Linked DNA regions of Schizosaccharomyces pombe. Changing the gene in region 4 together with the main gene of any one other region gives a genetic interaction. Each region holds a gene or a part of one and is shown on either strand. Other genes may lie near its edges. The genes, in order: mid1, myo2, bgs1 and clp1.

Region 1 (7,340 bases), on a different chromosome or scaffold from region 4:
CAAACGGATGTAGCCAAAACAGCATCACTTCCCAGCATTCCTTGATCATAACCAAAAATGGCGCCGGTCTGTTGCTGAAACAGATCTTTCAGATACATACCAGAAATTCGATTGCTATTAATGCGGTAATCTTTATGAATTCTGAGTTCCATGTCTTCAAAGAAACGAGTAGTTAATGCCTGTGAAAAGGCAACTTTTTCATTTTTTGGCAAACCACGAATGCGAGTATGGAGGATCCACAAATGTAATTGCGTTATTTGAAACCAAGACTGAAATGTCATAGGAATTTCACACTTCTGGTACCAAAATTCAAAAGCACCTAGCGAGTTTTTTTCGGGGGTAGCTTGTCGAGCAGCCTCAAAATACATGTATCTTGCAGTACCAGTAGCCTCATAATATAAATTTTGTTTAGGAGAGATATATTTTTGATAAATAAGACTTATTTTCTTTAGAAAACTATTTGGCGGAGCCACTTTACGTGGATCTTGAGGAGGTGTAAGGGGTTTGTATCTGAGTTCTTCTACTGGGTCTCTTCTCTTCGTTTCCGAAGGTGAATGATTAATAACATTTATTGGAGAAAATGAAAATCTTCTTCTTAAGGGACCGTATATACTCTTCCCCCATACCGGCTGCTTAACAAATGCTGGTCTCAATGGCAAATTTAAACAGCAGCGACTCATTACTGAATGACGATAAGGATCTTTTGATAATCTTTTCTTAATTAATAAAATTAATTATTACCTGCAAATAAATACGTAGGAGTTGGGTTGAAATAAAAAACGGATCGATTAATGTCGTACAATATAAAGGGGAAGAGAGGTTGTGACAGGTTGATTGCCAAATACAATGTTATAACGAACGATCAATATTACGAGGCCATCATTCTTCCTAATTAAGTATACTCTAAAATTTACTGGACCATTTTAAATTTGTTTGCAGTTTCAGTAGTATATCTTCGCCGTTTAATCGTACCAAAGATTGTATCTATTTATTTTGCTTTCTCAATTAGAAAACCTAAATTAATAACCTCTTAGTTGAAAATGATTATAAATATTACCATGAACTAAACGTAATAAACTTGTAAATTGCTTCAACACTCATTCGTTGACAAAAGTTCTAAATTCTCATGTCTGCCATTAGCGAATCATTTTAGCATCAAAAATTCAATTTATAGATTTTATGGTCAACGGTATCAAGGCGCTCACTTAACCAATTGTTATCATCTAGCAATGCAGCTTTGTCTCCCCCCACAGGTATTTGTTTAATAATTTTGTCGTAAGTAGCTTGCTTTTTACGGCAGTCCTTCAAGAGAAAATCATTCAACAAATCAATATATATCCTCGTCTCATTCAATCGAACATTTACCTTGTCTAAACGTACGACAAGGCGTGCTAACAATATTAAATGACCCTGAACAACTCGAGCTCTCACATCAAACATTGATTTTCCATTATCTGCTAACTCATCTTCGAAAAGAATTATCTCATTGAACCATAAATTTTGTCCTGCGTTAAGTATTTTTTGAACAGGTATTACCTGATCAATTTCAATGAATTTTGCATTTGGACGTTGTATAGTTCCCTGATAATCAGTATAATAAGTCCAATCAAATGGGTAAATCACAGGGTATTCTTCTCCGGGCTTAATTCTGGATTTGGCCCAGTCTTTTGCAAAAGAAACTTGCATTACATCTTCAGGTTTGGTACCAACCATTTTAAGAGCATCTTCAGTAAAAAATCCAACTACAGGCTGATTCTTGTATTCAATTGAGATGTAATTATTCCCAAAGGTCATCTCAGGAGGTGGAAAACCCAATGTACTTTGAAGGTTCTCCATCTCATGGCTTTTTAAAATTGACCCCCGTTGGACTTTGATAGTCCAATATTTAAATGAAAAATCATCTTGTTTTTGCATCTCCTTTAAATAATGTGATTTGAGTAGTTGCTTGACCCCTATATTATTGTAACAATTTAGAGTGCGTACGGCAAAATATAGGTAATGTAAATTTAGCCAACACAAAACACCTTTATATTACTTTACTCATTATAGAGTATATTCAAAAAACCAAAAGTTGATTAATTATTCAGATTAAAAATGAAAAATGATCTATAAGTATTAATTCAGTAGTTATATAATTTCAGTTCAACTCCCTCATTTAGTAAATCCGATAAGTAAAAATTATTCAAAAAATACATTAAGACGATTAGTATTCATAAATTCAGATATTAAGCCATAAAATTCACGTATTCTTGTAACCATAATTTCTCAGTACCCCTATCTAGAGCAAACGAGCGTGAATTCATCACCTGAAGCCATTTTTGGCAAACCTTTTTAGAGTCCGCAAACAACTGAACATGCCTTCTATCAACAGATGTAGCCAATATTCCAGCTACTAGACCGAGGTTTGAAACTGCCTCTGAAAAATTTACCATTGGGATTGAAACTACTGTCTTAGAAAGCTGAAAAGTATCCAAATATTGCCCACCTTTTTCAGCATAAAAATTCAGCTGCTTTGAGCGTAAAACGACAAAACGTCTTCGAATAGATGAATCTTCCAATCTATACAAGTATCCCTCATTATATAGATAGTTACTTCTAACGTGTCGCAAGTCCATCGTAGCTTGTTCTAAGGTAAATGGCAATTCCTGCTCTGGAACCGAAAGCTCAGGAATATACAAACAAGTCAAAGTTAGATTACCAAGTGTACGTTTCCCTATAGAGTTTATTTTTACAGGAATCGCTTCCAAGAAGCCTCTGGAAATGATGGGTATTTCTACGTTGAAAGCCTTTCCAAAACAACTGTCTTTGACATTACCCAAATTTAACGTAGCAGTACCCGAGACTTTCTTGATAACCACTGACTTCTTAGCCTTTGAATTCTCAACTGCAGCAGCCTTGTTGAGTTTTCTCTTTTTGCGTCGGTTGAAAAGCTTGTCAAAAAATTTCCTAGCTTTGGATTTCGTTTCAGCAGGCTTACCGTTTGAAACGTCTTTTGTAGCAGATACTCCTTTCGAACCGTTGGACTTGTCCTCAATAGGGATGTCAAGAAACATAAAACTCACTTTAAAGTTATCGTCAACATGAAAAGCAAAATCATGGTCCAACCTATTATTCCCATTAACAGCTTGCCAAGGAAGCTGCATATTTTGCGTAGGCGTATTAACTATTATCTTGATAGGTGAATGGACTTCACTTATCGAAATATTCAAAATGCTGTTCAAATGTATATAAAAGCGACCAAGTGGCAAGGGCGCCTTTGGTTTCTCTTCAAAAAATGTTTCATTCACAAATCCAAGAGAAGTAACAGGACGTGGTGATTGATTTTCAGTACCATTCGGGACTTCGTAAGACGTACTCTTATCCTGACTTGGAAGATCAAGGCGATTCAAATCAAAGGAATGTGCACGACTTAAAAGTTCGCTATCTCTGGCTACAGGCGTAGACTGCCTAAGTTCATCAATGCTGGCGGATATCTCGGCACTAGGGTCGTAAAAACCTACTGTACCAGTTTCCGAATAATTCCATCCTTCGACGTTATGGGACTCAGAACTGACTAAACTTTGGCTAGACTTGTTTGGCTCATTTTCACAATAATTACTATAAGTACGCTTCGTTCCTGGTACGGGTTGCATTGATGGGTGACGTAAATCTTCAGAGCTTAAAATAGCACTCAAATTGTCAATGGTAGAACTGCTTTTTATACGACCACGTTGACTAGATATACTATATCCCACGGAAGCAGAAGTTAGATTGTATCTGGGGACTTCATGATACGTTACAGATCCATGACCATAGGCGGCCTGAGATTTCGGAATTGAAGTGGCACTAATATCCTCATCCATATTTTCCTGTTGTAAAGAATCATTGATAATAGTAGAAATCTCAGGTTCTGAATTACGGGAAGATTGAAGGTATAACTCATCATAGTCTTTACCGTTGGTGGGAAGGGAAAGCTCAGAGAAATCATAAACTTTCCTAAGTGTACTAGCATAGGAAGATCCACTGGAAATCCGTTTTGCTTCCATCTTGGCCAAAACCTTTTTACGAAGACTTTCTGTAGAGATATCTGAGTCGTCTAAGGTGGCCTCTGGGACTGAAGAAAAAGGCTCTGAAGTATCTTCAACAGGGGCTTCCTGAATGGGAGCTAAAGGTTCTAAAGGTTTATAATCCATATCGAGAGACGCCGTCGTTTCGACCCTTTCCAACGCTGGATTGTCCTCTGTGGTATCTTTGGGAAGACTAGGAAGAATCCTTGGACCTACAGTAGAAGATGCAGATAGATGTGCTGGAGGTACGGGCTTGACATCAGATGGTATGCGAGCCAAGTTGGGAACGCTTCCAGCTCTTGCTCGGGCTGGGTTTGTAGACAGTTCATTATGGGATTGATATGGATGTTGAACAGTGTATTCCAACGGAGACATTGTCTTAGCTCGACTAAATTCTGCTACTTCTACCGCCCTCTTGCGAGACGATTTGGAGCGGTCAAAGGATAATTCAGCTAAATTTTGATCCGGATTAAATGTTTCATAATCTGCAACAATATCAGCACCTTTCAAAGACGCAGTAGAAGAACTTGTCGAGTTCATAGTTCCTGCCGAGTACGTCAAACTAGGAATGCGACCTTCTTCCTCGGAATTAATCCTCTTAAACACTGATGTACTACTCATTCTTTTACGATTATCAGGACTATGTTGAGAAGAAAAAGATGAATCGAGGTGCCCATAGCCATGCATATACATGCTTCTTAAATCAAGTGACTCTAAAAGATCTGTCGCAACGTTTAGTTCCGAAAGGTTTCCAAGGGACATATCGCCATCTCCATGTGTAAAGTTTTTTGTTTGATCATATCCCGAGGTTTCATTACTGTTACCCTCAAAAAAAAGGGGTGTTTTTTCTCGATTTGGAGAAGAAAGAAAACTGTTTTCTAAGCCTTTAGAGTCAAGAGACACATCTTTTGCTTCTCTATATGAGAACTCTTGCTCTTTCATCGTCAGGATAGCTTAATTAGACTTTACAGACTATAATACCTTATCGAGTGTTAAAATGTGGACACAGTATCATATAAGCACCCTGAAGTACAACAAAAGACGAGCCTTCTTCTTTATAGCAAATATTAATTCAAATTCTATTAAAATTGATGCTAAAAGCACGAAAACCTCTTATAATTTATTGAAATCCTTCTTCACCTCAGTCATGTGGAGTAGGCATAGGTCACACAAAATCGGTAGACGCTATGATAAGTGGTAGTCCCAGTGAGAACACTGATTATATGGTTAAACAATTCAAACTCTGGATATACCATAAATCGAAGATTAAAGCCAAGTTTCCTTTTTAAAATTAACAAAAAAAGGCTAGTTGCATTGCAAATATGAATTATAGCTGGGACATACTTGCAAAGATAATATTGTATTATCAGTATGCTTATGAATAGCGATGAATAAAGTCATTAGTATGTAAAATAAAATAAGTAAAATCATATTTTGTTGTCTGCTATTTTCGCAGAAACTAAAAAAAAATACATAAAATGAATCTGTTGATAAACAGCTTTTAATTTACAAATACACGAGCAGTTAAAACCTAAAACTAACTATCGGGGCGTAACATTTACTTAAAGCTAAAACCCATACTTTTGAGAAGATGCCTTTTTGTTTGATCGTTGCTGCTCAAAATAAGCTTCAAAGTTGTCTTTTTGACTGATAGCCATTTCAACAAGAGAAGACAGTTGATGACGACCAGGTGCAACACTTTTAATAGTAGGGGCGCTTGGCAATGCTTCTTGGGTCGGTTTTGGAAGTTTGTTGATATCAACGTCTATAATTCGTCCCTTCTCTTTTCGGTGGCGTCCAATTTCAATGTAATCTTCATTGATAATGTTTATGTCCTCTGCATTTGAATGTACTGAGTGATTAGCAATAGAAATGAAATCGTTCTCGGGTTGATTCCTCAATTTCGGAGGATTTGCTCTAGCTTTAGGTTTTATCAAAATTGGTTGGTAAGGTTTCTGATCGGAATCTACTAAAGAGGCTTGCTTTGACTCTGATCCTACGATATTAAATAACGAAACGTTACCAGACTTTTCTGAATACGTTGATTTCTTGACAGTTTCGGAGGATCCAGTAGAGGTTAAATCGCTTACAGAGTTATTAGGTAATAAATAGTTTTCATTTAAATCAAGGTCCGATCTTTTAGATGACTTTGGAGCTAATTCAGCTTGATTTTTTGGGGCAGGCAAAAGTTCAAGTAAATCATTAGATTTAAATCGTTCATTAGAGATAACATCAGATTCATTAAAAGTTTTATCATTAAAAGAAGATTTCTGTAAATCAACTTGCCGTTTCAGGCGTTTAGGTGACTTTTTAGTGCTGTCAACCGACAATTTTCTGCGCGCATGCTGAAACAAAGTAGGATCGAAACTTTTAGAAGCTAATGGTGTTTCTTCTTCAATATCGCTTTCGGATTCTGATCGAGGATATGAAACCAGAGACATATTTTATTAACTTTTGATATTAAGTCGTTTAATAATTCTGAGCGAGCGATTTGTACTCGGTAACTATTCTCACTGCGAACAGAATTATTTATGGCAATTAATATACTCGCATCTGCAAGATGATTTACATATTTATTCAAACTTAAATTAATTCTTTAAGTAAGTCTTAAAAAGAAATAATATTTAATTGAATGCTACCGCCCAACGTTGCTAGCTAGCATATGTGGTATTTTATATATTAATCACCCAAAAAGATTCCAAATTACCATTAATTTAATTTACTTTTATAAGCTTCATAAATATGAGAGTTTAAAGCACTGCAATTTTCGTAAACTTAATTTTTAGGATAGGCCAAAACATGGCCAAATCTTGAAGACTGGAAAAAGTACCGACTCGAATACTTTTATCAATCAACTGTTAGTAGTCGTAACCATGGTATCATAAACCGAACATATCTCTTCAAATATATCAATTTATGACAAACCACAATACATATTTAAATAATCATTAACTTGTCCGTATCAACTTTTAAGCCTCATCAAACTGACGATTAGCAAGTTCAACTAAATGGTCCCAATTGACATGCAATGAGCACCAAGTTTCTACTCCAGCAATAATTAGAATTGCAGCTCCAATTCCAATCCATAAACCGTACAGCCCCCAATCTAGCTTGAAGCAAAGGATTATGGCAACAGGCAAACCCAATAAATAATATGCGATGAAATTTACTACCCCACCAATCCTTTGTCTTCCTTGTCCCCGAAGAAGGCCTCCAGCTACACATTGTGTATTATCGGCAATATTAATGAGTGCAACAAGGGGAATGATAGTTGCAACCAATGCGACGACATCT
Region 2 (9,025 bases), on a different chromosome or scaffold from region 4:
TGGGTGTTGAGGTCTACCCTTCCTATGGAACTTCAAAAGGATTCTCGCTTAATTGTAGATTCGGTATTGGATACTGCTTATTATGGATTTTTGATGACTGTGATCGCATTCATAGCCGTTTCTCATTGCAGTGTAGGACATTCAGAACTGCAATCTTTTTTGCAGGAACTTCTAACAGAGGAAGAAACAACCCCTTTGCATCTGGATATTACTCGCTCGTTATCTCTTTTAGTTCGCCAAGGGTATTTAGATAGAGTGAAAGATGATACCCATAACCAGTTTGTTTATTATATTGGATCCCGTGCAGTAACTGAAATTTCTATTGAAGGCTTGAAATCATTCGTTACAGAGTTCTTTCCGGATTCAGACATTGATATGGATGCTCTATTAACCGAATATCGGCAGGAGTATCAGAATCAATCTTCCTCAAGTGCAGCATAGATGACTCTTAGGTTTTTACATTATGCTCGTCTCATGTTAATGCTATTGTATACTTACTCCGCTACTACAAAAAAATTCGTAATATTATTTAAGTTCCTATATGCGTGCTAATATCTCGATATAAATTTAAGATGTATATTTGGTTATATAGCGGGAATATTATGTACAGCTGTTAAATAAAAAAAATAAAAAAATAGCTCGTAAACTTATAAGAGAAGTATATGTCAGTATATATAATATAATTAATAAAGGTTTCATCATTACAAAATCATTTAACTTCATGCGGCGCGCAACTCATCTTCAAGGCTTGCAATGCGATCTCGTAAAGCTCTCACATCTATTAACGAATCTTTGTTCACTTTTTCCAAAGAAGCAATTCGTTTTTGTAACTCCTGCTCACGTTTTTCATATTGTACTTGAACGGAAAACATTTTTGCCTTTTCGCTATTTATTTGATCCTTCAGAGCTTTCAATTCAATAGCATGAGCCAAGTTGACATGTTGCAAAGATTGGCCAGTAGGTTGAGGTGATACTTCGGCCCCTTTTAACTCATTAACTTGCTTCTCTAAGTTGTGCTTCTCAAGATTAAGACGGTCGTAGTCTCGTTTCAAGTTCTCGTATAACGCTTGATTTGCATTTCTTTGCTGTAAATCAAAAATTGTCTTTCGTTGTGGAATATTTTTCAAAACGGGTTCCGTAGTTTTGACAGCCGGTATATTATTCTCCTTTCCGGACGGTCTATGTTCTTTAAGGCGATGTATCTCTGCCTCTCGCTTCTTGCAGGAATCAAGAGCAGAATTCAGTTCCTTTCGAGTATCAACCAGCTTCATTTCTACTTCTGAAAGCTTACTACGTATACTTTCATGATCAGCAACTTTGTTCCTTAAAAGGGTGACTTCCGAACGGAGGCTTCTAGTTGTTTTTACTTCTTCTAGTACCTTTTGATACTCAACTTCAAGCTTTCGTTTACTCTCCAACTCTGATTTCAAAGAGCGTAATTCTTCGTTATCTCGACTAGCTATCAATGCTTTACGCTTTTCATCTTCAAAGGTCTTACCGAGTTGACTGTACTCGTGCATTAAGTTAGTAATCTTCCTCTCAAGTTCGGGAACCTTAGATGCTTTTGGAGAAAGTTCATTTACTTGCTTCGTCAAACTCGATACCTTATTAGAGAGATCTTTATTCTCGGAGCTCGCCAACGAAAGCTTTTCCTTGTAGGACGCCGATTGCCGAAGAAGACTTTCATGATTAAAGGTCAAATCACGATGTTTTTTCGAAAGTTCCTGAAAGTTTGTATCGACGTCTTTTAACCCCTCCAAGTCCAGCTGAAGTCCTTCATATTTTTTCTTGTAATTCTCCAAGTCGCTAACTTTAAGAAGTAAATTCTCATGGATTTCTTGCAATTCAATGTACTTTAAAGAAGCATCTGACAAATTTTGGCATTTCTCTTCCTTATTTTCAAGCTCTTTCGTTAACGATTTGATGTTATTTAAACATTCTTTAACTTTGGCTTCCAGTTCTTTATTTTTGGTAGCCTGGAGCTGATAAAGTTGATCTTTGTCATTCAAGGATTCTAGTTCTTTCTTCAATTTCGGAAGCTGTTTGACATCGGCTTCCAAATAATTAACCTTCTCTTCTAAGTTATTTATTGTTAACTCTTGCACTCCTTTCAAGACGCTTAACTCTTCTTTCTGCTGTTTTAAAATAGAGACGTCGCTTATAAGAGTAGAATTTTCACGTTCTAATTTTTTGACTCGTTTGAGACTCTCAGATAAAGAACCTTCCTGCTGAATACTCTTTTCATTCATCTTCTGATTTGTCAGTCTCATTTCTTGAATTTCAGTTTTATAGTCAGAAATATATTTAGTGAGTTTATCAAGTTCAGCATCCTTGGTAACGATAGTTTCCTGTAAACTTTTACATTGTTCATTGAACTCTGCTTTTTCTGATAAAACAGTTGCATTGTTCTCACGTAAAGACTCAAGTTCTCCCTTTGTATCTAGCAAATCCTTCTCTTCCAAACTCAGTTTTTCTTTCAGTTCGTTCTGTTCTGATAACAAAGTCTCAACCTTGGAAGTTTTTTCTAGTAACTCACTTTCTAATTCGTTATTAATCTGTTTCAATGACGCTGACTCTCGTTGCAAATTTTCATTTTGCTGTTTTGTTTCGCTAAACGAATCTTCTATGTTTGCAAGCCTTTCCTGTGTTCGACGTAATATTTCCTCCTTATCAAGGGCTATCGCACGTTCAGTAGTAAGCAAATTTTCAACAGCAGTTAAAGAATTGTTGGTCTCGACGAGATCACGCTCTACCTCAGATTTTGAATTCTGTTGTTTTTTCAGCTCGTACTTCAGCTCTATGATTTCAGCATCTCGCTTTTTAAGCTGCTTATCATTTTGAGTACTACTTAATAAGGGCCTTAGATTGAAAAATAACTTAGCCCAAGGAAAAGTTCTAAATTCATTGTACACTTGCAAATTTGCTTGTAGTAATTTGATGGCTTGTATGTCCTTCAATCGCTTTTGAAAAATTTTTCTTTGAAGAAAGCCACGGATCCTTGTTTGTAGCATAGTCATCAGTCTTTGTAAAGTCGCTACGCGCCTCTCCTCTAATTCTGCTAAAACACCTGCTTTGAAAAATATTTTTGAAACACCAATTCGATAAGATGCTTCGTCAATTTTCAACTCCTCCAAAATCATGACAGAAGCACGTCGAGATTCCACATAGGTACCTGTTGGTAAATGCGCCATTATCTCATATCTGACTCTAAAATCATTAAATGGTAAACGGTTAGGAAAACCAGCCCTTGTGATTCTGATTCCTTCCAAAACACCATTACATCGAAGTTGTCCTAAAACGAGGGGTCTATTAAAGGTGTGCATTTTCTTTTCTTCGTTTGGAACAATACAACGAATAAAGTGAGGTTGGGTCGAGTTAAATTGATTCATAAGCTGATTGAGCTGCTCTTTATGCCTTTGAGCAACAGTTCGAAAAAGGCCCTTTTTCGTCCTTCCCCTAACAGTTTTAGTCTCAGTTTCCTGATAATCAGAAAATAGTGTAGCGACATGCTTGTTAGTAGATTGCGCAAGCAACTTAGCAACGTTTTCATTCAAAGGATCGGTGTTCTTCTCCAGCCAACCTTCTGTACTGTAAGGAACATCAGCGGCATAATGAGTCAAAATAAAACCTTGATCGGCAAACTTAAAAGGTTTATATTTTAGCGACTTGTTCCTCCAAAGAGCATCAAGTTTAGAAGTAAACGTAGCATCAGTTGCTTTCGGCATAACACATTCTTCATCCAAACATGAAAGAATACCTATTGGGTTTGCTTTCTCGATTAAATCAATAGTCGGCTGTAAATCATGTCCAAAATCAATGAAATCCCATACAATTTCTTCTTTCATATATTCTTCTTGCTCCAATACGAACATGTGATGGTTAAAGAATTGTTGCAACTTTTCATTTGTGTAATTAATGCAAAGTTGTTCAAAACTGTTTTTCTCAAAGATTTCGAAACCGGCGATATCTAAAATACCAATAAAGTAGCTTTGGGCATTGGAATGGTTCAAGGAAGTGTTAAGTCGCTTTACCAGCCATCCAAAATTCCTTTCGTATATGGCTTTTGCTAATGCTTCAATGGACGAAATGACTTGAGTTTGACTTCGAGCGCTGATAACCCATTCATGGCCTGCTTTAATACGAGGTCGAACAAGATTTTGTGAAAATAACTCCGGAGACACACCAAGCAAATGACAGAGCTTGTCAATCTCATCAGGATTGAGAAGACGAGCTATACCAGAGCGATCAGCACCGACATCAATATTTCCCATATGTAGAATAATGGAAAGTATATTAAATAAATCAAAGTTCTCTTTATCGTCAAATCCAAGAGTTTTAAAAGCAGCTAAAAGAGTTTTAAACTCTTCTTTATCGTCAACTCCATCAATAATGTGAACCGAATCCTTCAAATATCGATAATCATTACAGTTATCGGTTAAAAGAAGTTTGTTCTTGAGAGCAGTATCAGCACCACTTAAAAGCTGATAAAAAACATGGTAGTTTCTTTCAAACTCGTTCTGATGAACAACGCGAGATTTTTCAAGAAGATACCATTCTATGGCGGCATTCGAAATTTCCCCACTCAAAGAAAACTCAACTTTAATGAATTTTCCAAAACGAGAAGAATTGTTGTTGCGTACGGTACGAGCATTACCAAATGATTCGAGCACAGGATTCGTTTTAATGATCTGCTCTTCAACCTGACTAGAGCCAACGGTAGTCGAGCTAGCAATTGCTGCAAGATATTGGATGATTCTTTTGGTATTCTCTGTTTTACCTGCGCCGGACTCACCAGTTACAAGAATCGATTGATTTTCCTTATTTTCTAAAAGGTTATTGTATGCTAAATCCGCGATTGCGAAGACATGAGGTAGCTTGCGCTCTTGTGTTTTATCTTTGTACAATTGAATGATGTCCTTCGTATAGATTGGTAGTCCACAATAAGGATTGACCGCAACGAGAAAGAGCCCAGAATAGGTATAAATTTGATCAGAGAGATATCTCTGTTCAAGATTGTATGTGACTGCAGGCTCGTTTAAGTATGTCAACTCAGCCATGTCATTGACTCTATCAAACTTGGCAGGATTCACCGGATCAATTTCATCCTCACCAACGATCTTCTCATCCCTGGAATTATTATACCGAACAACATATTTCTTGTCTGGCAGATCCTCTTTAATCCAAGCCTTGGTAAAGGCAGTCTCTGGGTCGGAAATCCAAACCCATCGTTTATCATCAATATCCTTCAGACTAGTTGCACCATCTTTTGCAGTTATTTTATTAGATATTACTTCTGTCATCGGGCTACTCTCTAAGACGGTTATTTACCGCCTTTCCTGAAAATAAACAATGCGGTGTACAATACCAAAACCTTGTAAAACAATAAGGATAGACCAAAAATCAAAGAGTGAAAAAATCCAAAAAGATAGCAATAGATATATCCGAAAAGAAGGATCAACAAATGCACAGAGAAAACGTTAAAGAACTATGTTGTTGGATACTTTTTGTACTCCCCGTTGAACGCACAGCAATTAATGATTTAAGCACTTGAACATTCGATTAACGCATGCGTTAATCGAACGTTTATGTACTTGATCATATTTGCGTTAAAACATTTAGTATAGGTTAAGGTAGCATCCAGAAACATTCCTATAACATAATGATTTTAATATCACAATTAAGAAGGTATATATATCTTTTAAAAGAAATAATATTAATAGATGGAGGTCATTATATACTCGGTCTTTTGCAATTAAAGTCCTGACAAATTTTTAAAGCTTTACTTTCATCAAGATTGAAGATATTAAGTAATAATTGAAAATACATTGTACTAATACTCAAAACATCAAATGAACGTAGGATTAGGGGTTACGGTTTAATCGAAATTTCATGTTCCCCCGTGCTTTTAGGTAAAATGATTGTATAAAAAACTCCCGCTATTACAGATATATGAGTAATTTGTGACTAGATACGCAAATAATATGTTCCTCATCGTACCGAACACAACTTTTAAAGCAAATAACTAAACTCGGCATTTATTTATCTACATTTTATATATAGCACTCTAATCATGCCTCTTACTGAATAATTATAAGAACACGCTCTAGCTAATAATCGCAATCAGTAATTATTATGTGCTTACTGACCATCTACAGCTATGGCCCTGGTAATAATCAATAAGTAAATATACAGAAATGTTAGTTGCTTCAGTTAGTGTTTGAAAGAAAGCATGGTGCTTCAATGTGTAACCACATCTTTAAACTTATGATCAAAACATGCAGAATACCATAACCAGTTACGTAAAAAAACAACAATGTTCTCTGTTTTCATCAACTGTAGTCGGCAAGTTTATGCAACTTGTACAATAAGCCAATTTTGGCTTAACACTGAACATAATGATAGTAGCGATCATTTTAAGTAATTAAAAAATGTTAATGCATGCAGATTTTAATATTCCTTTGTGATAAAATGGGTAGGGAAATGTAAAAAAAAAAAAAAAGAAGAAATAAAATTTCAAGGCTGCGATAAAATATGATTCGAAAGATGCAGGATGTTCCGTAAAACAAAATAAGATAAACGTTTCCGATATTCAAAAGTATGGATGAGTAAAAAAGACAATCATGGCAAGAAAACTTGTAATAAATATGATAATTATCAATCTTCAATTATGAAGGAGTTTGTTTTTGCCTTATTTAAAGCGAGTATCAAATGGCGATCGTGATACTGAGGATGAACCATGCCAAACATTATATATTTCCCATTGGCTAGCCAATCACTGTTACTAGGGTAGTATTTAATGTCATTTCCTTGGATAATTTGATTAAGTTTCCTAGTTCGCGTGTTCCATATTTCGACAAATTCATCATTAAATGCAATGAGATATCCATGACAGCTGGTAACAGAGTTCGGTTTGCCAATCCAATCAAACCAACACTCTTTATTAACCATACTACCCTCTCCATTGACAAACACGGCACCGAATTGATAGCAGCATGCAAATAAGCTAGGATCGTGGATGCGAAAGACGCCAAGCGGCTTACTGTTGTTGATTCGGTTCCGAAACAACGTATCATTAAGCACTGAAGGGCTTGGAAAACCAACTGCTAATTTAGGGTCCAAACGCAGAACGTCAATGCCTTTATTGTGACAAAGAGCAATTGAATACTTAAAGCAATCAATTGAATGACAGTTAGCCGTTACGTGAAAATCATCCAGAGTTCTGAAGGAAGTAACATCTTTTCTCTTGAAGGCATATGTTTTCTGATAGTTATGTCCTAAGCCGATCACTGGTTCACAGCAAATTATGGTTGTAGTATTACCGAGTCCCTCTTTATAAAAAACCAAAGTTCGCTCACGTTTAACAGAAGCCCCCTCAGACAATTTACCTATTTTAAAGAATGATACGGCATGCGGAGTTCCAATGACAACTGCAATTTTGGATTCGATCAGACCCATTTCAATAATACGACTTAATTTATGAGCATAAAGGGTTTTGTCACGTAGCTCTAATAGGATATCAAATTCCTCAACAACTCCAAGCTGGGTAACGCGTCTTTGACTAGAGATCTTTTTCCAATCGCGAATGTCACTGGAATCACCAAATGCGCCTAAAAAGATACCGGTAGATGTAGCAATCAAAACCGAGACATGACCTTCGTAGTCATTAAACTGGGCAATACAACTTATATCGCCATAGGCAATAGGCTCTGGCAAAAGCTCCTCACTTACAATTGGGTGTTTCCACGCTACCTCATTGAGTGCGCGATCAATCGAAGAGCCTTCAACCAAAGTAATTTCATTAAAGCTGTTTAATGGTTCATTTCCATTAACTAAGTCGGAAGGAGGGTACTGAAAGGCAACGTCAGATACAACTTTCAATGCAAACGGATTCTTAATATTTATCTTCTGAGAGTGTCGTTTTTTTGCGACATTAATTTTTTCAACCCAGAGTTTACGAAGCTGAAGTGACTCAACGTAGAGTGTATAACTAGCGGTGTAAGCACCAAGGTGCCTTATTGTGAAGGGGTAAAGTTGAGACTTCTCAAATACAGCAGAGTTCATTGAGTTTTCGTTATTCTTTTCAGCAGTGGCATCGAACATTAGTTCAAGATTCACCTTACTCTTCCTTTTACTCTTAGTGGTAAGAGATTCCTGTGGTAAATTGCCAGCTAAACTGCCAAGAAATTTATTAGTGTTTGATTTAAGTTGAAAATCGTCCATTTTAGGGCTTAGAACAAGCAAATCTAATGGTATTGGCCTTTTTGAAACAACATATCTTGAAGCATTTGTTCGTTTGTCTTTTCTTGCTTTGGCCATGATCAAGTAATTATCGAGCAAAAACAAGTGGATGTCCAACCAATCCAAGCGGGAATCACTTCTACGTTGAACTATTCCTTCAAAAAAGAACTCTCTTTCAGGATCCCTTAGCTCTAGATTGACACTTTCATGATTTTTAAACAGAAGTTGATACGATAGATCGCGAATACGATTGGCCTCAAGTACGGTAGCTATAACGGCATCACATTCCTCGCAAGTTGCTCTCAGTTCTTTGACAGCTTGAGTTATTAATTGAAAATCCCAGCTGGACTGCTCGGTATGCTTTAAAATTGTATCCAACTCAAGCGTGTATCTTTGTAAACGTTGAGTAGGTCTTTGCAAGAAATGCTGGAAATCCAACCGACGACATCTAGGATCTGATCGACAAGCAGCAAGCCAACGTGCAAAGTAAGTATTCCTTTGACATTCTAGCTTATAAGTTTCATCTGCTAAAGGGAACTGTTTGGCATAATTAATATAAGAGGATTTAGCAGCATGAATCCACTCTAGTAAGATATCACCAATAATTGAAACTACTGGGCCCTGGAGACGTTCCCTCATAATTAATTGTGGTAAGAACAGTCGAGAATGCAATTGTCTGATTGATTCAACATTTCCAAATACAGATTGAATAAAGTCAGCCACTCGATTGCTGGGAACAATCGCATCTTGCTGCTGCACAATTCCGTCCCTAAACAGTTCAGCTAGG
Region 3 (9,628 bases), on a different chromosome or scaffold from region 4:
TTGTAAATGTGAACGTAATAACATAATCAATATCACATTACGGGCAGACGGTGCACCAATAATTTTTTCTCATGTAACAGACATTAAGTTTGTGTTTGCTCTAACCATCAATCGTTCTTCATTACTTATTTAGATAATATATTCTCAAGTACTAGATACTTAATCAACACTCAAGTCATTTTTTATTTAACAAAATGCAAATATAATAATTATTATTTACCCTAATTGAGAGCATTTCTAATGAGAAATAAGCATCCACATCACACAAATCCTTTAAAAAAAAATAAAATGCTTTAGACAGAAGAATTCTTTGTTGAAGAATAAACAATCTTTGTCGCTGGCTGAATCAGATTAAATTTATCCATTGAAGTTCCAGCAGCTGATTTACCAAACACAAAAGGCAAAATTAAAAGAACAAAAAAGGCAATAAACAATGAAAAGTACAAAGTGGCATAGCGAAGAACTATTTGACGACGAAGTTTGTTTTGTCTTATGGTATAAATTGGGGGTCGAATTTGTCTGCTGGGCACAAGCCAGAATAATATGATCGAGTGAAGTTTGTCGATATAAGGAATCAAAATAACAGGCGCTTGCAAAAACAACAAAAGATGACTTAAAAGGAAATCACCAGCAAACATATTCAACTCTGTAGTTTTACACACAAATTCTCTCCATGGTTGCGTTAAAACCATATATCCAAAACCTTGGCCATTCCAACGTCCAGACCACCAAGCTAAATTGGCACCATCATGACGAAATTCTCGAGACAGGAAACATATGATAAAAAATTTATGAGCAAACCTGTGAATTGAAATGATTGCTACAAATCCAAGTAAAGTTTTTGAAAATGACCAACCTTCCAAATAGCCCAATACTTCAAAGACAACAACATCAACACACACAAAAAGGAAATGGGCCACTCCAGCCAAATATACACCATACGTTTTAGATCTATCGCCGAGAATAGGACGTAACATGATTCCTAAACAGAAAAAGAAAAAAGCAATAATTGCACTTAAAACCAAAGGAGCAACTGACATAATAATCAAGCGAATAAAAGCATTAGTAGATTGGGTCTCATCATCGTTACCAGGTTGGGAATTGATAAAGAGAAATGGAATACACGTGAAAAATAGTGTTCCTAGAGGCCCTAATATTTCACCATAAAACATTGTAGTAATTCTCGCACGCGGGGAATCCATAGCAATTTTATCTGCCTTCTTACCATATATTTTACGTTTATACCCAGTTACTCTGGTACGGCAAAGTTGACAGTTGCCAATCCATGAATTTGCTTGATTGCGTGAATTTTCGCGGAATAGCCAGCGCATAAACTCACGATAATCAACAAAGAAATCGGTCCAGGCGAATTGATGGGGATTGTAAAGGAATGGACTAATGCAAAGAGCAGTCAGCGTAATCCAAAAGTAAATATAATGCGGCAACCAAGCAGTAATTGAACCAAACAATAACATGTACATAAGTCGTGACCCAAAATAAAGTGATGGTCCAGAGAATCGAGAATACAATAGTGAGAACGGCACACGAACAGTAGCAAAACCTCTGCTAGTACCAATATAGCGTGCACCACCAAACGTAAGATTTGCAATTAAACTCTGCGCATATATTTGGCATGTGAAAATTTCAAAAATAGGAGATAGAGAGAATATTTGTTTCGCTAAACGAATAACCATTCGGATGGCACCGCGTTCCCCTAATTCACAAACAGCAAGTGGAACAAAAGCAATACCAAAGACAATGAAAATAGACAAAATACAACGCTTCAACCACTCGAGAACTGGTTTTAATTGATAACAACCTTCAGGGTACAAAGAAGCTGTCAAGGAGTCAAATTGGCGGTATCTACAAACCGGAACAACAGTGTACATTGCTCCCAAATTAATAATAACAAGCATCAATAACTGTAAAGAAAACATGATGACCATGTTATTGACGTGAAATCCAGCGTGGGCATAGAAAAATGACAAAAACCTATCAAACGGTAATTGTGTGCCAAGGTTGAAATATTCTCTTGAAAGCATTTGTTCCGCCATACCCGTTCCAATTTTCGTAGTAAAGTTAAGAATTGAGCCAAAACCCAAGTCACGACCCTTACCACATTGATAGTAATCACAATGCTTAATACGTCCTCCACGTTGAAGAGCAATCATACCTGCATAAATATCTTCATTAACATGCAGACCTTTTTGTGCTTTTGAAACGCCGCCACGAGTAATCATAAACAAAACATTAATAAAATCAGGATGTCCGTAATGCAATTTTCCACCAATCAACGATAAAATACGAGCGAAAAGAGTACCAAATGTTTGTTCCTTTCCAGCAGCTACATCTCCAAGCATACCTGTATTTTCTGAAAAAATGTATTCTCTAGCACCGAGAATAGCTACGGGATGATTGTCAGCAGCTTTGGCATTTACCGAGTAAGGGCTATGTAAGGGAGGAGTAAGTTGCTCAAATTCAGCAAGAATGCTACGAATCTTTAGACATTCTTCCAAATAATTATCCTGGTTGGCATCGATCATTTGTACATATTCACCTCTAATGTAAGGAATAGACATATTTTGATTATCAGATTTACCGTCACCCAAAATTGGGTTACCAGATAGACGAATACGATATTTGGGTCGACGCTTTCCATTTTCCATAATGGGGCAATGACCGTCAATCAGTACAGAATAAAGATGGCGCTCGTCATTATGTCGAGATTGAGGATCTTCATCCATATATGCAATTTGCAAGTCTGGATACGCTCTTAATAAAAATTCTGCATTTTCGGCTTCTTCTTTGGTAAACTTAGCATACCGCTGCATGGAGACACAGAATCGGAACTTCCTGTTTGCCATTAAATCCAATTCTTCATCTAATCGCACAGGGTCACCATTTGTCCATTCGACCAATTCTGGTGTTTCCGTTCTGTATAACAGTTTGATGGCACGACTATAGTTACTGAAACCGTTGATAGTGCGATACAAAGTTTGAGTTCTCAGAGAGGCCCAAATTCTTGTTCTCAAAGTATACTCCGGAGTCGCAGATTTAAATCCAACACAATAGAAAGGAAGGTCATATGCTTTATTTACTCCATTTTTTTCATTGTCGATACTGCCAATAACAGAATCATTTTCATCAGCAAGTAATTTTGTATCATCAACAAAATTTCTCCACTCCACAGGATATAGCTGCTTCAAGTACTCTAATAGAGTTACGCGAGAAAGTTGATCTTCCTCGCGAATAATCTCTCTTAAAGATAACAAAATTTTCTCAGAATAGTGAGGAACCAAAACAGTGAAGGTAGGCATGGCATCAATGGAACTAGTCTTGGGTATTGATTCAGCCAAGGATTGTGCGAAAAAGGAGATTCTTCGAGCAGCTTCTGAATTAGCCGGAAACAAATCTTGCTTATAATGCTTAACCTGTTGGGAGTAGAAAAAGTTGGGAGCTCTAAGAGTATGATAGCCTGCCTTTTCAGAAGGTACTTGATGGTACAACAACTCCTGAATTTGGGTACGGGAAATCAAATGCTCCCTGTACATCGAGATAATAATGGCATTCCAAACTTGAGAAATAAGTACTTTTGGCTTGAAGACAATCTCCATGTCATCGGTATACAACAGTTTTGTATATATTCTTCTGGGAACGCGGTAAAACAATTCTCTCCAAGGAGTCCACACACTGATACCCAGGCAAAAAGCATAAGCCAAAGAATAGATAGTGCTGATAAGAATGTACCATAGATAAGTATCAAGGAAAAACAGAGAAAGATCAGTTAAATACAGTAAACTCAAGAGAATTTTAGGCTGAGCCTTGCATAGTCCAGCTCCTAAAATGTAATCACGGCAGTCATAAGGTCGCATAGCACCCAAAAATCTGATAGAATCTGCCAAATTCAAAGTTAAAAAGAAATAAGATTCCAAGAATTTGGCCACCAAAACTGTAATCCAAAGACACCAAGAAACGAAAGCACCTGTTTTTGAGGTCGGAGTGAAATTGGCGGTGAAAAATCTGTTAGCAAGGTTTTTTCCAGACCTTTTTGTGGTGAAACCAACCAAATTTCGTAACGGCGTAATCGAATAGTAAACTACACAGACCAACGAGAAAAAGAAATGCACAATTCCTACAACCAATCGAGAAGCATAATGCTGCTCTTTCGTAGACGAAGCAAATATGAAAACAACAGGTGCGATGTTTAGAAGTAGCGTACTTATCAATAACAGCATACTCGGCCACAACCTTCTGGCAGAATGATAACGACGAGGAACATGTATATATTCGAAAACCACAGCTGCCAAGGTGATAAAAGAAGCTATAGCACCAGCTAAACCACAAGCTGTCCAACGACAAGAAGCAGGAGGTTTATTATTCAAGCGGATGTGATAATTTTTGGTGTACAAATTTGGGGAATTATAAGCCGAATAATACCAGTAAGCAGATATATGCATTACCCAAATACGTGAGAAATTGGTAACGTTATGGAACCAAGAACGATACTCGTAATAGGACTTATAAAAACATGATTTCCATTCAACATCGGAAAGATGTCGATATCGCATAAACGGTGGTAAATCTAACAACGGAGTTTTATCAGCACACATGATTTCCTGAAGGCCCTTGTAGGACCAAAACAATTGATTAATATCATCATAGCCAATGATTTGAGAATGATCTCTTTCTCGTCTGACGTATTTGCCGTCCAAAATTTCAAACAGCTGTGCATGAATAAATCGATAAATAGGGGTGATAACCGAGTCTAAATAAAATTCCTTGGGCAAAGCAGCATCGACATCTTTAGCTTCCGAAGAGATATAATAATCATAAGCACATTCAAATATAAAACAAAGACACTCGGGAACAAAACGAACATTGTTAGCTTCACCCCAGCAAAGAAAATAAAGGCACACCTGCACCATCATGCGATGGGGTGAAAATGCTGCCATTTGATCTCTCCATGCCTGTTCAGCTTCTTTCAAAGTCATTGTTTCGACAATTGGGGAAGACATATCGTGAAATCCAATGGCATGACCGTCATTAAAATGAGAAGCAAAGTACCACTTTGAAAAATTTGCATGTTCACCACCAATGACATCGGCATGGATAGTAAGCAGTGCCGAGGAAGGAGACATACGAGATGCCCGAGAATCTAAAAGAACCATAACATAATCAAAAATGTTACGCATGTTATCTTTTTGAAAACCAAGTTTATTTGTAAGGTCCAACAAGATCTCTTGAACACCTTCCATAGTAACAGGAGCCTCTTCACCAGCTTGATTCCAAGCCGGATAAGCAACTGAACTGGAATCGACATTAAATGAAGAGCTATCATAATCAGAATGTAATGCATCACGAGAAGAGTTTTTATCGTAAATCATACGGGTCAGAGAGCTCATAGTATCATCGTCAGAGACATAACTATTGGCATCATCTTCAAAGAGTCCACGACCCTCTTGTTCACGCCAATACTGATCCATGATGAATAAATAGACTCAAAAGAAGGAGAGAGGACAAATTTTAATGCTTAAATTAAGAAGAATTGAAAGAAAGAAAAGTTGGAATTTGTGAGAAAGAATGCTAGCAAATGAGGAACGATGTTCAAAAGAAAGAAATAAATTTAAGAGACCTTGAAAAAAAGATTAAAAAGAAAGAAGTTAAGCCTTGGAAAATGGGGGCAAAAGAGTAGAAGAGAAAAAAATTTGTGCTGATTGAAATGAAAAAAGTAAAAGACTTTTTCAAATCCTAAAAAGAAGAAAAAAGGGTGATATATGTATGCCGGATGAGAGAAGACGGCGGAAAAAGCTCTAAAAGTAGGAAAAAGGGTGGGATCACGAAGTGAAAGAGTAGTTAAGATATCGGAGGTTCAAAAGGGAATGAACGGAACCTAAAAATACAGTATGCAAATTATAAAAAAAGAGGCGAAAAAAAAGAAGAAATAATTATAAAAACAACAATAATAATACCATAAAACAGCAAGCACCAAAAGAAGTACTTACAAATGCACACCTAGGAAACTGACCAAATTTTTAAAAAAGCGATTCAAGGAAGGACGTTTTTTTAAAAGAAAAGGAGAAAATATAAAATCGCTTTCCACATAAACTTTAGATTGAACAATTAAATTGTCGTATGCAGAAGCTTATTTACAATCTCTCAAAGCGAAAAAAAAGTAAATGGAGATGGGAAAATGGAAGGAAAAGAGAAGCGAAAGGGTAAGAGGAACCCGGGACAAACGCCAAACGTCCACACAAACACAATGCTACGACAAAAGGTGATCTTGCACACACCGAAAACTTAGCAGTGATGGAGCAACTAACGTAAAGATAATATCACACAAGAAAACTTGGCAAATGTTAAGATGGAGTCAACCTTTTTGTATGGAGGCTAATAGGAAAAAAGAGAGGAAAAAGAAAAGAAGGAACCAATGATAGATATATAAGAAGGAAGAAAAAATTAATTCCGTGCAACAGAATCAAAAATTTGACGTTAAAAAGGATAATTTACTCTAATTAATCAATATATTTTCAAAAATTTTAGAGTAATTCCACTAAGAGAACGGTGAAAATAGCCAAAACCCACCAGTTCCTAGTTTGTTGTCTGCAAGTTGTACTCATTCCGGTTCTTTCAAAACTAACAGCGAAATGGGGAAGGGTAGTGCACATTATTGAGGCCTATTTTAGTGTAAGCAATTTAGAGGCTGGCGTGGTAGGAGGCTCAGGTTACTCACCAACGAGGCACAAGGAGGCTTAAAAAACCATCCCCATACAAAGCAAAGCCATAGCCGGTCAAACAAAGAAAGAATTTATAAGCAGCTACTGTGTAGCATCTTATCAATCGTTATACCCAGCTACCGTTTTAGATGGATACTTTTAACCAAACTAAGGACGCTATATTTGAATTGGAAAAGAAGTAAACAAACTACAAAAAGTCAAGAAAGTGTAGCTGAAACCATAATTCAGTTACAGTGAACATAAGCGACGAGTGTTCTTTTTTTTTGGAATTGTTAAACTAATTTCTAATATGTGATTGTCTACATGGGTGGTAAACAATAGTAAAAATAATACAAAGCTAGAAGGTACCGAATCCCAATTAGCAAAGGTATGATTATTACAGTATAGAGCTTATGAAGAGAACTAGGCATTGGGCTTTTTTCGCAAATCCCGAAAATTGGGAAAATCATAGACGCACAATGTCTGGGTATTGAATGCGTGGGAAAAGTACGGATTTGAATGCTAACAAATCTGGTTAGGATCTAAAGAAGATGAAAAGACAACCGAGTACGAATTTAAAAGCAATTGGTTAATCCAAAGGAAGAAACAATGTGCCGGCATTGGAAAAGGTTTCCATTCCATATTCTGGTTAAGACTTGGATTGGGCAATTTCCCTTACGAATACCCCAAAAACAAACACATCCTGTAAATATTTTTATCTATCAATCGACTATTACAGCGATATTCTTTTAAATCTTTGATGACTATTTAGTTGTCACACTTAAACAACTTCTTACAATCATTTGACTACAACTATTTCTATTGTCGCACCTTCTGCTCTTTTCATTTTCTCCATTTCATTAATTCCTATATTTTCTACTTCTCTAGTTTGTTTTACTTCTTTACACTACCTTATTAGATAAATAATCTAGCACCCTAGCCTTTCTTATCATCTTAACCCCCTGTAGCGAGACTTTTTTCGTCCGGTACCTTACAGGGCTTGGGTGGGCTTTATAGAAAGGCTCAGTACATTTACCACGAGATTTTGAAAAGGATAAATCCAGCGTTTTTTCCTACAAACTATACGTTCCTGATACGCTGTATACGCTTCTTTTTCATCCAAATTTCACATTTTTTATATTTTGGTTCAAGTCTGGGGTTGATTTAAGAAAAATTTTTTTCCGTACTGCCTATTCAGTGTTTCTATTTATATTCAAAGGTGAAATTTTTTGTCTCCGCAAACTTTACATTGCCGTTATTGTCGCTTTGTTTACATTTTGAAAGTCTCAAATTGAATATTTTGAATTTCATCCTTGGCTTTTTTTTATTTGGTTTCCATTTATTTTGGTGATCGGCTTCCTTATTTTTTTTTGCACATTTAGTATTGGGTTAGACTTCAAGTCATAGGAGCCGATTGAATGATATCCTAATATTTGCCTGCTTTTTTAAAATTCTTCCAAAGTTATCTCTTTTTTCTACATTAAAAGGTTTTTTCATTCGTCTACCCAAAACGTTAACGACATTTTCCTTGTATTCTTATCCCTTTAGATTATATCCCATTTTGGTACCCATTACTGTTTTGCTGCATTTCAAGTCAAGCTGATACATTCAAGTGAATCTAGCGGATAATCATATTTTGTATTTCAACCTTTAAGTTTTGCACTTCCTTGCATGCGTCTTTGCCTTCCCTTAATTTTGATTTTTATTACACTGTCAATAATCACGAAACAAGAATATAAGAATAGTCGAAACTCTCACTTTCTTTGCGCCCTTTTTTCCTTCTCCCTTTTCTCCTAATTTTTATTTCTAGACTTCACTGAATTTCCTCGGTTGATTTAGTCAATTGGTTTAATTTTTAATCCTTTTTTTGTTGTTTTTTTACTATTTTGGTTCTTAATTGTCGCTCTTTTTCTACTTCTTATTTATATTATTACCTAAATATTTGGACTCTAACTATGGATATTAATCCTCCTCCTAGTACTGCTCCTTCATCTCCTCGCCGTTCTGTATGTGCTACATAGTGGTTTGGTTCCATTCATACACCCCTTTTCTCCTCGCTAACGTACCATTTAGATACAGCGTATTTCCGATGCAAAAAATAAGGCTCTTACTTTTAATCGTCGACGACTTGGCTTGATAAAAAAAGCACATGAACTCTCCGTTTTGTGTGATGCTAAAGTGGTGGTCATGATTTTTGATTCTAAAAATGCTTGTCACGTTGTATGTTTCATATTTCCCGTTTTTCTGATCCTTTTCTGTCATATCCTTTCAATGTAAAGTGAATACATTATAGGGAAGGTGATGAAGGTCAACAACCAGAAAACGTGGCAATGTTTTTACAAGTTTTTAATATTAACATACACCTCTTTAGTATTCTTCTGAGGAACCGGAAGAGCAAAGAGATGCCTTGCTGCAAAAATTCCTGAACAAGGACTTTGTCACGGTTGACCCTCTGGTAAGTCACTTATCAGCAATCATTATGCTTGTCCTGTATTCTGTTTACTAACATAATCCCTTGGGGAGAAAGAGAAACATAAATCCTAATATACCATCTGATGAATCCCTTCATAATTGGAGACCTAAAGATAAGCGGATTGCTTCTGTTACCACATACAGTGCTCAACCTTCTAATAATTGCTCTTCTGCTACCGACAGTGAAAATGACTTTCAATCTTTCACGATCAAATCCTCTACCACGTACCATACTACTCCAACTACTGCAAGCGAGAACAAGAAAATAGAGTCGATTACCATACCGGACCATGCGTCGGTTTATAATGACCTTCCTCTTTCTCCAACAGTCAAACATTCTTTTGTCTCTCCAGTTTCTGGAGATTACTCTGACTCACCTTTAGAACCGTCTTCTTCATCGTCTTTTTCTGTTCCTCCTGAATCGTTGAATCCTACACTGTCTT
Region 4 (5,778 bases):
TTACTATATTTACTGTTGGGGGAAGGAGCGTAATGAATTCCTCAATTCCAAACATGGAAGACACGTAAGTTAATGACTGAAGAATCGATAAGCAGCTATGGTTTGCAGCATTTTTCTATACTTCTAAATTGTGTCAATAATTGTCATTTTACTAATATGTGGTTTAGTTGGTGGAGGAATAATGATGAGAATGAAGTATTCATTTTGGTAGAAGGATTTACAAAATTCTTCCCTACCCTTTCCTTATTGGGTTTACAATTACTATCTCTCTCCTCTCATTATGCTTAGTATCAGAAATCTATATATCCAACAAAATTACTTTGTGATATGATCTATCTCTTGAATTTGAAAACATTATTACTCTTAGTTTTGACTTTCATTTGATTTTGTCTTATAAAAGACAAGTTGTAATGCTGAAACAGCGTCTTCTTCGCTATCGTGTGTAGAAGTTTGTATTGTTGTTCCCAGATATTTTTTAGTCAAATATTTTAAGGAATATCTAAACGGCGGGCCTCTGGCATGCGTAAATAGAAGAGCAGTATCTATGACACGTTTGTGAATAAGCCTCATCGCATTCAAATCGTTTTCTAAACCATGTCCTATTAAAATTGTATTTTTATTCATGCCAAGTTCCTTTATTTTAATATACATTTGATCCATGGTAATTCCTGATTCTAATTCTTTGGCATCATGTATCCCGCTAAATCGAGTATTGAGACTCAAAATTTTGCCTTTAGGCTTTATAAACACATCCATAATAATGCTTTCCTTTGCTACCACCGTCAAACGAGCCAATTCCATCCCGTTCGTAGTGTAGCATAGTTCACAATCTAACGCGCAATGACTTAATTGCTTGCTATTTGTACTGTCTGGTAAGTAGGAAAATGGATGAACGCTAGCAAGATACGGAAGATGTCGGTATTTGAACACATGGTTGTCTTCTATAATACAACCAGACGAATCGCCCTCTTTTACACCACAGCAAGTGTATGTACGAATCTTCTCCCCCCCTTGCTTTTCACGAAACAGTTTTCCCCAATGATATGTACATGGTCCTCGAGGATCCGCAAACCGTGTACCACATCGATCGCATTCACGAAGTTCATCTGGCGGGTTTACTGGTGCAACGTCTCCAATATTATATCCCCATAGAATCAATTCTTCTTCCGAATGAACAAGTGACTCAAGTTTCTCATCAGGAGTTGATCCTTGTATTTCATTTTTCTTCGGAGCTTTCTTAAGAGATAAAATTTTAGACTTGCAGGAGGAACTGTATATCATTTTACTGTTTGCAGTTTCACAAATATTTTTTTCATCGAGAAGAGCAAGCATACTACTTTCTGCATTGGAATAGCCTAAATCCTTGTAAGACTCATATAACAAATGTGTCATTCGTTTTCTCAGTTCATGCCCAGCTGGTGAGTTGGAGTCATATTTAGGAGTAGGAATGATATTGGAAGACGCTCCTTGAGAATCTGAATTAGTACTAATGGCTGATACAAGTTGCTTCTTCTTATTAGGAACGATGGAAATGGCATCATTAAATAAAGAACGCTTTTTTAATACAGTATTTGTAGGTAGATGCGTCGTTTGATGATTCAACTGCTTGCATTTGTAAGTTTCTAGTACGTCCATACGAAAATTCTCATTCTTGGTTTCTTTAATGGAATCATTTGTCTTCTCCAAATTTAAAGTGGTGGATATATTTTGCCTAATGTTGAAATTAAGATTTTCAACCGAATGATAAGGGATACAGGTCGTAACTATTGGAACACAAATAGACAGTTTACAATTATCGTATTTGTAAGGAAGTGATTTTTCAATTTTAACTTTTGGGTACCCTTCAACATTTTCGGAATAAGGTGGTGAAATCTTTGTTGAGTTTTGAAAGTCATGACTAAAGAAACAATTCCTAGACTGACATTTGCGTCCAGTTCGTAGAAATGGACAAACTATGTGCTTAAACTGACCCAAAGGTGAAAACATTGAAGCAAATTAGGTACAACAAGTAGGCAGATTTCCGTTGGGAATTTAGATAAAAATTCTCAAGCAAAATATAATAAAATGTACCGCTACGAACAAAGATACCATGCACCCGCGAAAGAACCTCTTCAGCCAAAAATAGAATGGCGAAATCTTGAAATTCGTAATAAAAAACAAAGACTTTTTATATCATAACCAAAACAATTTCTCGATTAAAATCATTAACCATGGCTTGCAAAAAGCCAAAGTTTTTTCCAAAGAAATATGAATGTTAGTTAACAAAAAGGATAGCTAAGACATTAATGGTGGTGATCCCCACCGCGCAAAGGTGCGCTAAATCAGGGAATATTTGTAAAGTTAATTAATGAAAAATTATGCAGGGTTGACACAGTATAATTCAAAGTTAGTTTATATGAAAAAAAGGAATGTAAAAACTGCCATTTAAACCAGTAATTACAGGTTTATTAAGAAATTAGCCGGCTTTTAGAAGGCTTAGGTTTAGCAACACGGCCATTAGAAGTATTGTTAAGTGATGACATGCTAACACTTCGCTGAGCACTTTTTTTAGAATGACTAGACCCACTAGACCACCTATTTCCACTTGTACGTCGAATTGGACTACCAGTTGGTGAGGATGTCGGAGAACGAACTCCATTTGGTTCGATATTGCTTTGACTTGATGAGCGACGCAAGCGAACCACTGAAATTGTTTCAGTTGGAGTTCCAACAGTCCGTGTTTCATCATCATTTTGTATTTCTGAATCTTCGTAACTACTGTATGACGCTTTGTTCTCATTTTGGATTGATTGCTTGGAAGCATTTTTAAGTTTCTCATTAAATTTGACAGAGGACGCTGAAGGGAGACGTCTCGCCGACGGTGGATTATGTCCAGAAACTTTTCTCGGTTGGCCAGGCGTTGGTTCTGGAAGAGGAGTACTGATATTGCTTTGAGAGGTACCATTCGTAGCATTCAATGGATGGCGAGGAGGAGTAGCTAAGGGTTCCGCAGCGGTGGCCTGTTGGATTGCTCTTCCCATCGCCTTTTCGTAAAAATATGCACGGAAATGAACTTGATTAATATGTAACCAATGCTGTTGTGGACCTACAACCATTCCAGGACGCATTATTCTCATGTAAGCAATAACTTCATTAGCAGTAAAACAATGTTTGTATATTAAATATGCGCCAATTAAGCATCCAGTACGTCCGAGCCCTGCTTTGCAATGAACAGCAATCACACCGTCTTCTTCTACTTCCTCGGTAAGGTCAATAAACTCTTTGACAAGAGAAAGCTCTGGAACTGTGCCATCCTCAAAATACATCTCTTTATGTCGAATTCCAACATTTTCAAAAGTCTTTTTATCGTAAAGAGGTCCATTAAGCCTAACTATCAGTTTGACCTTATTAGCGACGAAATAATCGAGAACTATCGCAAACGGTTGAGGAAGTTTCTTTGGACGTGTGCTCGCATGATTCCAACCAGCCTGAATAGGACTTGCAAATGCTATAAACTTAGGAGATATCCAATTAAAATCTCCATTCTCCACTCTTTCATAAGTTTCATAGTCATGAACATCGATATTACGTATATTTAGTATGCTGCTCTCTCGTGCTCTCCACAGTCCGTAAACACAATCTTGAATCGTGATATAGTAATCTGAAACAGCATATCCCGCATCTCTAAACCCCAAAAAAGGAGGTTCTGCCTGAGCTAAAGGGGCTAATGCGAGATGTGGAGGCCAGTTTTGTACTAACACCATGTAGCAAGCTAACAAACAAGCGGCATTTGCACGCAACCTTGTATCTGTAGAAGAATATAAAACTATAGCCTTGCTTTTCTTAGCTTGTCTGTGTTTTCCCATGATACCATGAACTATCACTGCAAATCTAATAAGATGACTCACGTTCAGCGGACCAAAGTCATGATAAAAAGGGTTGTAGATCAATTCATCATCGATAGTAAAAAAATGCATATGAGGATATAACTCGGCTTTAGGTGGTTGCGACAATGATGTGTAGTATAACTTGTCTATTTAACATGTTAATCAATTTTACGAGATATTTGAGTTAAACTTCATGCATACCCTCCAAAAACTCAATCATTTCACCAAGCCCATCATCTTGGTAATCCATCAGACAAGTAATTGCGAATCTCGTCTATATTCGTCAAACCCGTAATGGTTGAGTTCTAAATTGTGTACCTGGGTGTTGGTGGTCCTTGTAAATAGAAGGGATGATAATGCACAAGAAAATATGTGGGGTGCGAAACAAATGAAGACAAAAGTGGATTCTAAACTATACACAACGTTATGTTGACATTTAATCTTTTCTCTTTATTAAAAAAAAAAAGACATTAACTTTTAGCAACACTATAGTAAATAAACAACAATAATCATTATCTTACAAAGTAAGTAAAAATGCACATCAATTTATGATAAACATACAGAATACTTTTTGCTCATACAAATACAACCCAACTTTTTTATCTGAAATTCGATTTGTTTTAGCAAATATATTTAAATCCGATAACAAAATCCGGATAGATAACCATATAATTGCCGGACCTTTAAAGCTACCCTAATCTATCATTTATGGATAGCACTGGAAAGCATAATATTTGTAAACATTATAATGGTAAGAACGACGTTGGGTGAAATTTAAGTTAGTTGTAAACTGGTTCTAACACGCCGCCTCTGAATACTAAATAGCAACCTAAACGAATAATAAAACTTTTTTGCGCAACTAGTTAGAAATAAACACAGGCTAAATCCGTAATGAAACGATCAGCGTAAACGAAATTTGAGGAAAAATCAGTTGATATTTCATCGCTGTTACAGCGATATACCATTCTCATATAAGTTGGTAAATGATACGATATTATTGCTAACAAAGTTTTGGAGGTATAGTGATTAGTTTGCTCGCAAACCAGTCTAAACCCATAAAATACTAGGGCATAAGAAAGAATGATAAAACACTAGATTAAAAAGGAAATTTTTTGAAACCTTAAAACCGACCATTAAGCAAAACTTCTTTTCGCTTACTATCAAGCAAACAGACATGATATACCAAAAGTTAAATCCCAGGATAAATACCAAATTTTAATAGTATATAATAATCTACATTAAATGGCTAAGCATCTTTTAGATATTGAACAATTAAACTTCAAGAGCAGGTACTTCTTTTATAATTTCCTCGTAGCTTTCCTTGTACTCCTCAACTTTAGACATGTCCTTCTTTTTTCCACCGGGAACAATCATAACACAGCTAGTAGGTCTCTTGGTGTTTGATGCTTCACCAAGCAACTCTTTGGAAACAGTATATAAGTAAGGGACATTATTGTCTTCACATAATACTGGAATATGAGATATAACATCCATGGGAGAAATATCACCAGCAAGAATTACAAGACCCTTCTCTCCTTTTCTAACAGCCTTTACAACCTCTTTGACCCCACGAAGGATGTGTTTCTGCTTCGAAGCCTTCTTGACAGTCTTCATCATTTTTTTGTTCAATTTTTTAGGAGCTAAAGGCTTAGCAATTGGCATTAAAGCAGGAAGATATGAATCATACTCATCTTCGGTGCTTCCACTATGCTTATGGTCTTTTTTATCTTTTGCCATGATAAAGAAATGGAGAAGGATAAGTTTGGAAGCCCAAAAGATGATCCCAATAAAACTTTTTTCAGTAACGCTATGTAGCGGATAATAGTCTGTTAAGCCATCTGTATAATACGTAATTTTAAGATACCAGCTTTGGTAATATTCCTTAAATTGACATAATGCCTACTATTCCACG

What was found.
Region 1: of clp1 (region 4) and mid1, changing one enhances a phenotype caused by changing the other (phenotypic enhancement), as found in Schizosaccharomyces pombe (3 studies listed by BioGRID, with this or other methods).
Region 2: mutations in clp1 (region 4) and myo2 impair growth when combined (synthetic growth defect), as found in Schizosaccharomyces pombe (3 studies listed by BioGRID).
Region 3: mutations in clp1 (region 4) and bgs1 impair growth when combined (synthetic growth defect), as found in Schizosaccharomyces pombe (2 studies listed by BioGRID).

The regions. Positions count from the first base shown.
Region 1 is NC_003421.2:1,145,228-1,152,567, forward strand, and holds mid1 (anillin-related medial ring protein Mid1), read right to left. Parts: upstream 5,209-7,340; 5' UTR 4,989-5,208; coding exon 2,226-4,988; 3' UTR 2,089-2,225; downstream 1-2,088. Other genes in the region: ubiquinol cytochrome-c reductase assembly protein Cbp3, read right to left, coding at 1-680; TIP41 type 2a phosphatase regulator Tip41, read right to left, coding at 1,156-1,914; protein Cwf20, read right to left, coding at 5,615-6,487; SPOM_SPCC4B3.13 (MatE family transporter), read right to left, coding at 7,016-7,340. UniProt on the Schizosaccharomyces pombe protein: Scaffold protein that anchors the contractile ring (CR) at the cell equator during cytokinesis.
Region 2 is NC_003421.2:1,232,731-1,241,755, forward strand, and holds myo2 (myosin II heavy chain myo2), read right to left. Parts: upstream 5,507-9,025; 5' UTR 5,301-5,506; coding exon 720-5,300; 3' UTR 501-719; downstream 1-500. Other genes in the region: Smc5-6 complex non-SMC MAGE family subunit Nse3, read left to right, coding at 1-441; RhoGEF for Rho1, Rgf3, read right to left, coding at 6,655-9,025. UniProt on the Schizosaccharomyces pombe protein: Required for cell division. It is a component of the cdc12 'spot', a structure thought to mark the site of septation. May work in conjunction with myo3.
Region 3 is NC_003423.3:2,350,761-2,360,388, forward strand, and holds bgs1 (primary septum and spore wall linear 1,3-beta-glucan synthase catalytic subunit Bgs1), read right to left. Parts: upstream 6,605-9,628; 5' UTR 5,484-6,604; coding exon 294-5,483; 3' UTR 162-293; downstream 1-161. Other genes in the region: SPOM_SPBC19G7.04 (protein-DNA covalent cross-linking repair protein), read left to right, coding at 1-6; DNA-binding transcription factor, MADS-box Mbx1, read left to right, coding at 8,669-8,719, 8,787-8,933, 9,085-9,168, 9,241-9,628. UniProt on the Schizosaccharomyces pombe protein: Alternate catalytic subunit of the 1,3-beta-glucan synthase (GS) complex. Synthesizes 1,3-beta-glucan, a major structural component of the fungal cell wall. Required for the assembly of the division septum and maintenance of cell polarity.
Region 4 is NC_003424.3:4,767,544-4,773,321, forward strand, and holds clp1 (Cdc14 family protein phosphatase Clp1), read right to left. Parts: upstream 4,174-5,778; 5' UTR 4,117-4,173; coding exon 4,068-4,116; exon of another isoform or gene 4,013-4,067; coding exon 2,448-4,012; downstream 1-2,447. Other genes in the region: qcr8 (ubiquinol-cytochrome-c reductase complex subunit 7), read left to right, coding at 1-64, 168-182; exonuclease Rex3, read right to left, coding at 364-1,986; box H/ACA snoRNP complex subunit Nhp2, read right to left, coding at 5,139-5,603. UniProt on the Schizosaccharomyces pombe protein: Protein phosphatase which antagonizes mitotic cyclin-dependent kinase cdc2, the inactivation of which is essential for exit from mitosis. To access its substrates, is released from nucleolar sequestration during mitosis.